Linked DNA regions of Danio rerio. The protein of the gene in region 2 purifies or fractionates together with the protein of the main gene of each other region. This does not show direct contact. Links are inferred from orthologs where the notes say so. Each region holds a gene or a part of one and is shown on either strand. Other genes may lie near its edges.

The links.
Region 1: the proteins of mcm4 (region 2) and sf3a1 fractionate together in Homo sapiens (co-fractionation; 3 studies listed by BioGRID, with this or other methods). This does not show direct contact. The link is inferred for Danio rerio from reciprocal best matches to the Homo sapiens genes MCM4 and SF3A1.

The regions. Positions count from the first base shown.
Region 1 is NC_133183.1:43,422,369-43,426,714, reverse strand, and holds the start of sf3a1 (splicing factor 3A subunit 1), read right to left. Parts: upstream 2,872-4,346; 5' UTR 2,854-2,871; exon of another isoform or gene 2,850-2,853; intron 2,730-2,849; 5' UTR 2,687-2,729; coding exon 2,639-2,686; intron 1,257-2,638; coding exon 1,147-1,256; intron 1,055-1,146; coding exon 862-1,054; intron 701-861; coding exon 443-700; intron 1-442. UniProt on the Homo sapiens protein: Component of the 17S U2 SnRNP complex of the spliceosome, a large ribonucleoprotein complex that removes introns from transcribed pre-mRNAs.
Region 2 is NC_133199.1:39,257,458-39,261,111, forward strand, and holds part of mcm4 (DNA replication licensing factor MCM4), read right to left. Parts: intron 3,213-3,654; coding exon 3,085-3,212; intron 2,512-3,084; coding exon 2,304-2,511; intron 1-2,303. UniProt on the Homo sapiens protein: Acts as a component of the MCM2-7 complex (MCM complex) which is the replicative helicase essential for 'once per cell cycle' DNA replication initiation and elongation in eukaryotic cells.

The sequences.
Region 1 (4,346 bases), on a different chromosome or scaffold from region 2:
TCTAAATGCCAGAGGCTGCTCTTACAGAAACTAAAAGAAATCCAAAGAGTATTGTGTTAAAAAGGAAACTTTAACTGCTTTCGCTAATTCAGACTAATTAATAAAGACACAACTACAGATTCATCAAGTGTTGCAAGTTTTGTGTAGCTTTATAGTGAATTATGTGTGGCAAATGCTGCTCCAGCTGAATGTAGCTTACTTTACTTTTATTGCTTTATTGACAAAATGTGCATGGAAATCACCAATTTTTTCCCCAGCCCTAATGTATCTTCTAAATGCTTTCACAAATGGAATAATTGTTTTAATAATTTTTTTGCTAATTTATTGAGCTTGCATTTTTTTAAACATTAATCAAAAATATTATTAGAGGAAAAAATACTGAACATCTCTAATCTCTTTGCAAACCAATAAGCCCTCAGCATTTCTAAAAAGTATAATTTACCTTTGTATACTGCTCCACTAGTTTTGTGAAGTAGTTGAACAGACTGTGCTGTGGCCGGAGAAAGTCAAACTGGTAGTTCCTCTGTTCCTTCTGCATCAGCTGTGTGAGAAACTGACGGCCATTACGGGCAACAAACTGTGCGGTCAGTTTCACCACATCCAGGTCAAAGGCTGAGATGGAGGGAGGGTCAGCAATGAACTCAAACTCAGGTGGAGGCTCTTTTGGCACCACCGTCTCATGGATCACCTGTGCTTGGACCTAAATAATCACAAAACATAAGCTCTTTATAACATAGAAAGCTATTAAAATTTTTTATATCTGTCTGCTGGATTATGGCTTGATTTTAACTATTATAAAACTATCTGTCTACATCTATAATATTGATAATATTTATATAAAGCCACAGAGAAGTTGCTGACCTTCTGAGGAAGCTGCTGAGGATGCTGCATGACTTTAGGAACGGCTGCGGATGGTTCCTGAGCTTTGCCCTCCTTGAACTCATTGACCTTGTGTCGGTAGTAGGCATGGTATGGGTCGCTCGGGTTGAGGAAGTTGAACTTTGGGTTGTTGATCTCATTCTGTCGAATTCTGGCCTCAAACTCGGGTCCATTCCTTTGACAAAATAAATGGAATTAATTATTGATTTAATAAAAGTACACAAATGAAATACTGCACTACATGATATATGTGGTAGGATGTCAAACCTGGCTACGAAGCTGGCAGTCTTGTCAACGATGTTTCGCACTTCAGGAGGAGGGTAGATGATTCCCACTATGGGCTTTGTGGCTGGAGTTTCTTCTTTCGGTTCTTCGGGCTGTTGATTAAAACATCTCATAGCTTATTTAATATGAGCAAAATAATACAGAAAACACAAACAAAAATCACAGAATACAGTCATAAATATGGAATTAATTATACAATGTCATTAAATGTTACAAGCTTTGAATTAATACATTAAAACTAATCATGTCCTTAAAATGAAGTTGTGATGTGTACTATTGTGTGAGAATTTTAAGACCACTAAAATATAAGTTAAATACAAAGTCTATATTTATGAGGCGTGTTTCTGAATGAATGCCACAGTTTCATTTACTACACAAATATTGAAGCATGGGTGATGCTTGTGGTGTCAATCTCAGAAACTTTACCATGTTATGTGAGAATACCATATCAGATAAACAGAAAAAAATCAAGCGAATTGGATTTACTGCAGCCAAAAGTGTTTCTATTGTACAACAGAATACACTTCTCACTGTAAATGGTCCTTAAAATTATTACTTTTTATTATAATTGCACAACTGTCCTTTCTCATTTCACAACATCAATAAAACAGAATCTGATAATAAACTGAAATTTATATTACAAACTAATTAGTTTTTACAATAAATATCAATAAATTTACATTCAATTCAAACACCCCTAATTTTTAAATATTATTTGTATATAGAATTTGCATATTCATTTTTAATTTAAGAATCAAAACAATATATGTATATTTATAAACTAACAAGTAATTTGTGTATTTATATTTTTTTCATTATAAAGAAAAATAAGAATAATTATTCAATTAACATCTGAAGAATATTTTGATGACATTAGAAAAACATTTAAAGATCACATTGCAGCCCCCAAAATAAGCAAATGAAATATTTCAAATTTAACTATCTATTATCCAAATTTTTACTTAAAGAAAAAACAATAAAATGCAGAAGGATCATTTACTTATTTTAATAAGTACATGTAAGTTTACTTTTGTTGTTGTTGTCATTTTTTACAAAAGTATATATATTTTTAGATCTTAATTTTTATTAACCTTTTTTTCTAAACAATAAAGTAGACACTACTACGTTATCTTTTAAAATGGTTGTCTTTGACCACATCGATTTTGGGAAATAAAACAGTACATTTACATAATATATATTTTTATATTATATTATATTTATACTAATAATAAAACAACATTATGCTGGGAATATATACAACAATGACTGCTACAAAAGATAACAAAACAGATAACATATACATTAAAGTTTAACTTTAAACAAGTAATGCTTCTACTCAAAACAATAAATTATAAAATTGCAATAATGCCCAGTATTATACTTATGAAAGACGAAAAATGTAAGCAGATGAATATAAATCGGATAAACCTACCCATCGTGTCTATGAAAGTAATAAATTCTGAAAGCTTCATACCTTGTTATTCAGCTCCGGCTGCATGATCTGCACAGGCCCAGGCGGCATGACTGCGACACTACTGGCTCTTCTCGGACCGATTCAAACGTTACTGTGTAAAATGAAAGATTATTTGAAGCTAAAGACTCAACCGTTATAAAATAATGAACACTGAAAGTCGCAAGAATGGCTAAAGTTATACAAATTATGAAGGCAGTTTTACATAACTCACTTACCTCTCGTTAGCCAGCAGCCACACACACAACACAAAACGGACAACCAATGAAATTCTTCTTCTTCTTATGGGGTTAATGGCGGTTGGCAGACCAACTTAAATGGTGCATTTCCGCCACCTACTGGATAGGAGTGTGGAGCGCATAATGTTGGAAAAAGCATGAGTACTAAAGATATATGATACGAATGGAGGGATGAGATTACCATAGGGAAGAGAGAACAGTAATAACAGTAGGAGGAGAGGAGAGAAAGAAAGAAAAAAAATACTAGTTAAAAATCATAGTAAATTTTATTTCCTTATTTTGCTAAGCTATTCTTAAATTCTATTAATCAATTTTGTTTCCTTTAAGTAATTAATTAATTGCATTATTATTTCAACTTGATTTGAACTGTTTCCTAATAGGGTCTGAAATGACAAATTTTTAATCCCATAAATACTTAATCCTTGAACTAACTGATATCTCTGATTGTCATATGCCACACATTCTGTAATTACATGTTCTAATGTTTCTATTTTCCCGCATTTATCACAACATCCTGTCTCGTGCTTCCCTATTCTGAACTTATACTGGTTTAGCAAACAATGACCAGCACGCAACCTAGTTATTACCACATCATTCCTTCTATTACTAAACTTATTTCTAGTACCACCCACACATCCTTGAATATTATGCATATGTCTGCCTTTTTCTCCATTATCCCACTCCCTTTGCCACATTCTACCTGTTTCTTTTGCAATTATGTTTTTTACCTCTGACTTACTTATTTTTATTTTTATTTCTATCTGAGTATGTTGTAATGCTTCCTTTGCAAGTTGGTCTGCCTCTTCATTACCTACTACTCCCATATGACCAGGAATCCACAAGAAGCTTACAAAAAGTCCACCCTGTCTGATTCTGAATAAATTTTGCATTATCTCATTCATTATGTCCTGTCTTGCCTTAGATGTTCCAGTAATTAAGTTGTTTAGTACTGACAGAGAATCGGAGCATATTACTGATCTTAATGGTTTCACGTCTTCTATCCACTGAAGAGCAAGAAGTATAGCTACAATTTCTGTAGTGTACACAGAAAGTCGGTCCGTTATTCTTTTTGATATTTTAATATTGAATTTTGGGATGTAAACTACTACTGCCGTTTTTTCATCTTTAGGATCTTTTGACCCATCTGTATATATCTGTAAATAATTGAAATATGACTGATTTATGTATTGTTGTATTTCTTTTTCATTTAACATATTATTTTTGTGTTTTTCCTCATGTAGTAATAAATCGACTACTGGTTTATGGAAAAGCCAAGGCGGAATCGCAGAGGTTGGCACAGCAGGGGCTAAATTGATGTCTCTTATGCCCATATTTTGAGCCTCGTCTTTTACTGTCCAACCAAAACTATCTATCTTTTTATGTCCATATTCCCAACATTCCTTTAGTACTGTTTTTACTGGGTGCCTCTCTTCTTGGCTTTTAATGCTAACCCAATATCTCATTTTTAACTT
Region 2 (3,654 bases):
TTCTTTGTTAGGATCATTATTTAAAAGTGCAGTATGTGACATCTAGTGGATGAACTAGGTATTGCAGTCCAAATTCAAAATATTGGATTTTTTTTCCCACCCAGCCCCTCCTCAGGTTGCTGAGACCAGCAGGAGTGAGCCAAAAGTCAAAGTATTCACACAAGTAGATTGACATTACATATGAAGTCAATGCAAACGCGATCGAAAAGGAGCATTTCTACAGTGCAGCGCAAATATTTTACTTGTTTTTGCCTGTCTTTTTTTTATTTATTTTATTGCCACATCAGCAATGTTTGGCTATTTCATGGCAAGATTAAAACGGATTAAAACAAACAACAAAATATTTATGCAACTTCAAATAATTCAACTCGAGCAGAAAATTAGCTTGAGGTAAATAAACATCACTCACTCTAGTTTACTCACGGGAAGCTTAAAGTTGGTGTGAACCAGCATTACACTATAAGCTTCTCAGCTAATGTTTGTGTTTGTAACATTTTTCTATTGTTTGCCAATTTGAAACTACCTCATGTTAATTTTTATAACTCAGAATCTACATCTTATTTTAAAGGCCCGCATACATTGAGACGGCAGTCTTCAACCAAGGCAACCTGGGGTGCCAAAATATAATGGCTAAAAATCGCAGTAGGCAGAGTTACACAGACCAAAACAAAGACAGACCTTCATACAATTTCAAAGTAGAACAACTGACATCAGCATTGTTTTTTCAGATAAACAAGCAAGTTCACTTACAGGGCTCGAAATTAACTTTTTTACTTGGTAGCACCAGTGCTCCCGACATCAAAAATTTAGGAGCACCCACCAACAATGATTGAGCACCGCTGCAAATTGAATTTTAAGGGATTTACTGTATTTTAAAACAACATTAATTAGGACTAACAAAAACCAGAAACAACTATCTAACTAATGCTGAAATGACATTGATATTTGTGTGCAATAATTCCAAAATGAATGTCGAATAATTATAAAATATTAATGTTGATGAAAATGACGATAATAGTAACAATGAATTACAGTTCTCATCATCATGCTGCCTTGAATGTGCTTGAATGCAGGTTATCTGCTATAAAAAGTCTGTTACTTTATGAGAAATAAATGTATAGTTTGCATCAAACAAAAATGAAGCATTGCAGTAAGAAATATTTATTTTGTACTGCTGTTAATATATGCATGTCAGTTTAATAAATAATATTTCTGCCATAAAACAAACAAAAGATTATAATAAATAATTAAATTCAAGCCTGAAAGCAGCAAAACAGTCATCAGTAACTAAATAAAAAAATAAATAATATACACCTCTAGAAAGAATAGACAAAACAAAGTAAGTAAAGTCTCACTTCTATCACTCTTTAAAAGTTTTGGTTTCAGTTTGTGTCAATTTAAAGGTTCAGTCTGAGCTGATCTTCATTTTTCTGTGTTTGTGGAAAAGCAGGCGAGTCAACCGACCCAATTTATGAGCAGGCAGAGCAGGATTCTTGCGATGACCATCGGCGCAATACCACTGTTTATGAGCCGCAGCTTCAGTGTGAACTTAGTAAAGGCGAGCTTCTTTGGCGATGATATGTCCAGTATTAGATTTAACTTTTAGCGGACATTTGCGCTGAACACGCAGTGAATGCAACGCATCGAGATTCGGGCGCCTTCTCCGAAAAGCACATGGTCGATTGATCTCAGCTGGCGGATCAATATTCACCACATGTCATGATCGCTTTCATCTGCGCCTCAACTTTAGGTGGGGTTTGCAAACCTGTGTGCTTTAAGTTTTCACTCTTCAGCCGTTTGCATTTCCCGTGGTCATAAAAGCTTCTTCCCTGTCACCTGACTGCGGAATATCTTGAGTGATTGACAGCTAATATGAACCAATATAGCGGCAGGGAAGACCGATTTAGCACGTTTTTAGAAAAAATCTAAACAGGTCACACTACAACCATTATCTGCAGTCGCACTAATGCTCCCATATATATTATGAGGTTGCATAGATTATTCTCGGGCGCATTTGCGACCAAAACAGTCGCAATTTCGAGCCCTGACTTCGCATATTTCTGAAATATCTGCAAAAATATTATGGATATTATAGTATTAATAGTCCAAAACTTACATACAGCCCCTTTAATTATAAAAGAGACAACGAACAATTTGATTGCAAAAGAAATCTGACATATGAAATGGCCAATTAAAAAATAAATCAAGATCAGCTAATCACAGTGAAATATCAGTATCGTCCTTAAATTAAAAGTAACAAAGCTGGCAACATATAATGCTGTGCTGTTATAGTGTTTCTATACCTCAATAAGGGCCTGACTGGCTTCTTCACTCAGTCTGGGATGTACAGTTGTGCGAGCGAAGGCGATGTAGTCTTTCAGTACAGCCATGTCCAGATGCTCCTCTTCAATCTGCTCTTCACTCTGATAATACAGAGAGACAAGGTGGTGCGCCAGACGCCTGTCATACGCCTCGTCCTGAGGGTCCAGCATTAGGAAGATCAAATCAAACCTGGAAAAAAAACAGATGCAGAGAGACAATTATTAGACAAAAGAAGAAAAAAAAACATTAAAATAAAAAGCAGCTTATGTTGAACTAATATTATGAATAATTAATAATCTTTGAGATCACAAAAGTAAAAAAAAAATTAAGTTCTTTTATGTAAATTTGCCCTATTTGTTAATAAATGTCTTTAAAGTTAGTTTATAATTTAATTTGACAACTAATTTAAATTAAACACTTCTATACTGACAAAACTAATATTTAATTATATCATCCAAATGTTTTTTTTCTTTACTTTTAAACATTAAAATTATCACATAATTATTGGCATTTCACATAAACACTGCACTTAGGAAGTTGGTTCCCAAATAATATTAAGCAGCACAACACTTTGCATTACAAAAATGTAATACATCCTAAAAGAAAACATCTATTTTAAACTGTAATTATTAAACATTACATTTTTACTTTATTTTTAATCTAATTAATGTTAACTAATATTTTTCAAAACACATTGTTTTAAATATTCAGCAGATGATTAATATACATTATCCGCTATAAATACGGTTGTTTAATTTGTACCTGGACAGCAGTGTGTGAGGCAGCTGAATGTTCTCTATCGTTGTCTTTTTGGGGTTCCACTGAGACTCCACCGGATTGGCTGCTGCGAGGATGGAGGTCCGAGCATTAAGCTGACAAATAATCCCAGCCTACGAAACACACACACAATCCTGCATTAATCATCAGTTCAAACAAATGCATTGCAATTCCAAACCCAATCCTTCATGCACCTTCAGATACATGTCGGTATTCATTAATTCGATATATTGTGATAATGAACATGCACAATATTGATATCACAGGTACCTCAAAACACCATGATTAATTGTTTAAACATTTGAGTGCCTTTTAAGAAAATGTTGTATTAGTTTGTTGTATTAGTATTGGTTAGGTTATTTTCAAAAAGTAAGACTTACTGAATCTGAGACTATTTATAGGCCTTTTGTTCATGAATTCTGACTCATTAAAGTCCATGTAATGATAACTACAAAAACATTTATTAATCTTAGGTGATGTTAATTTGTAGTTAATGCTTAATTTATTGAAATGCTTTCATTTTCTTTATTTCTTTTTTTCAATTTCTCATTGCAT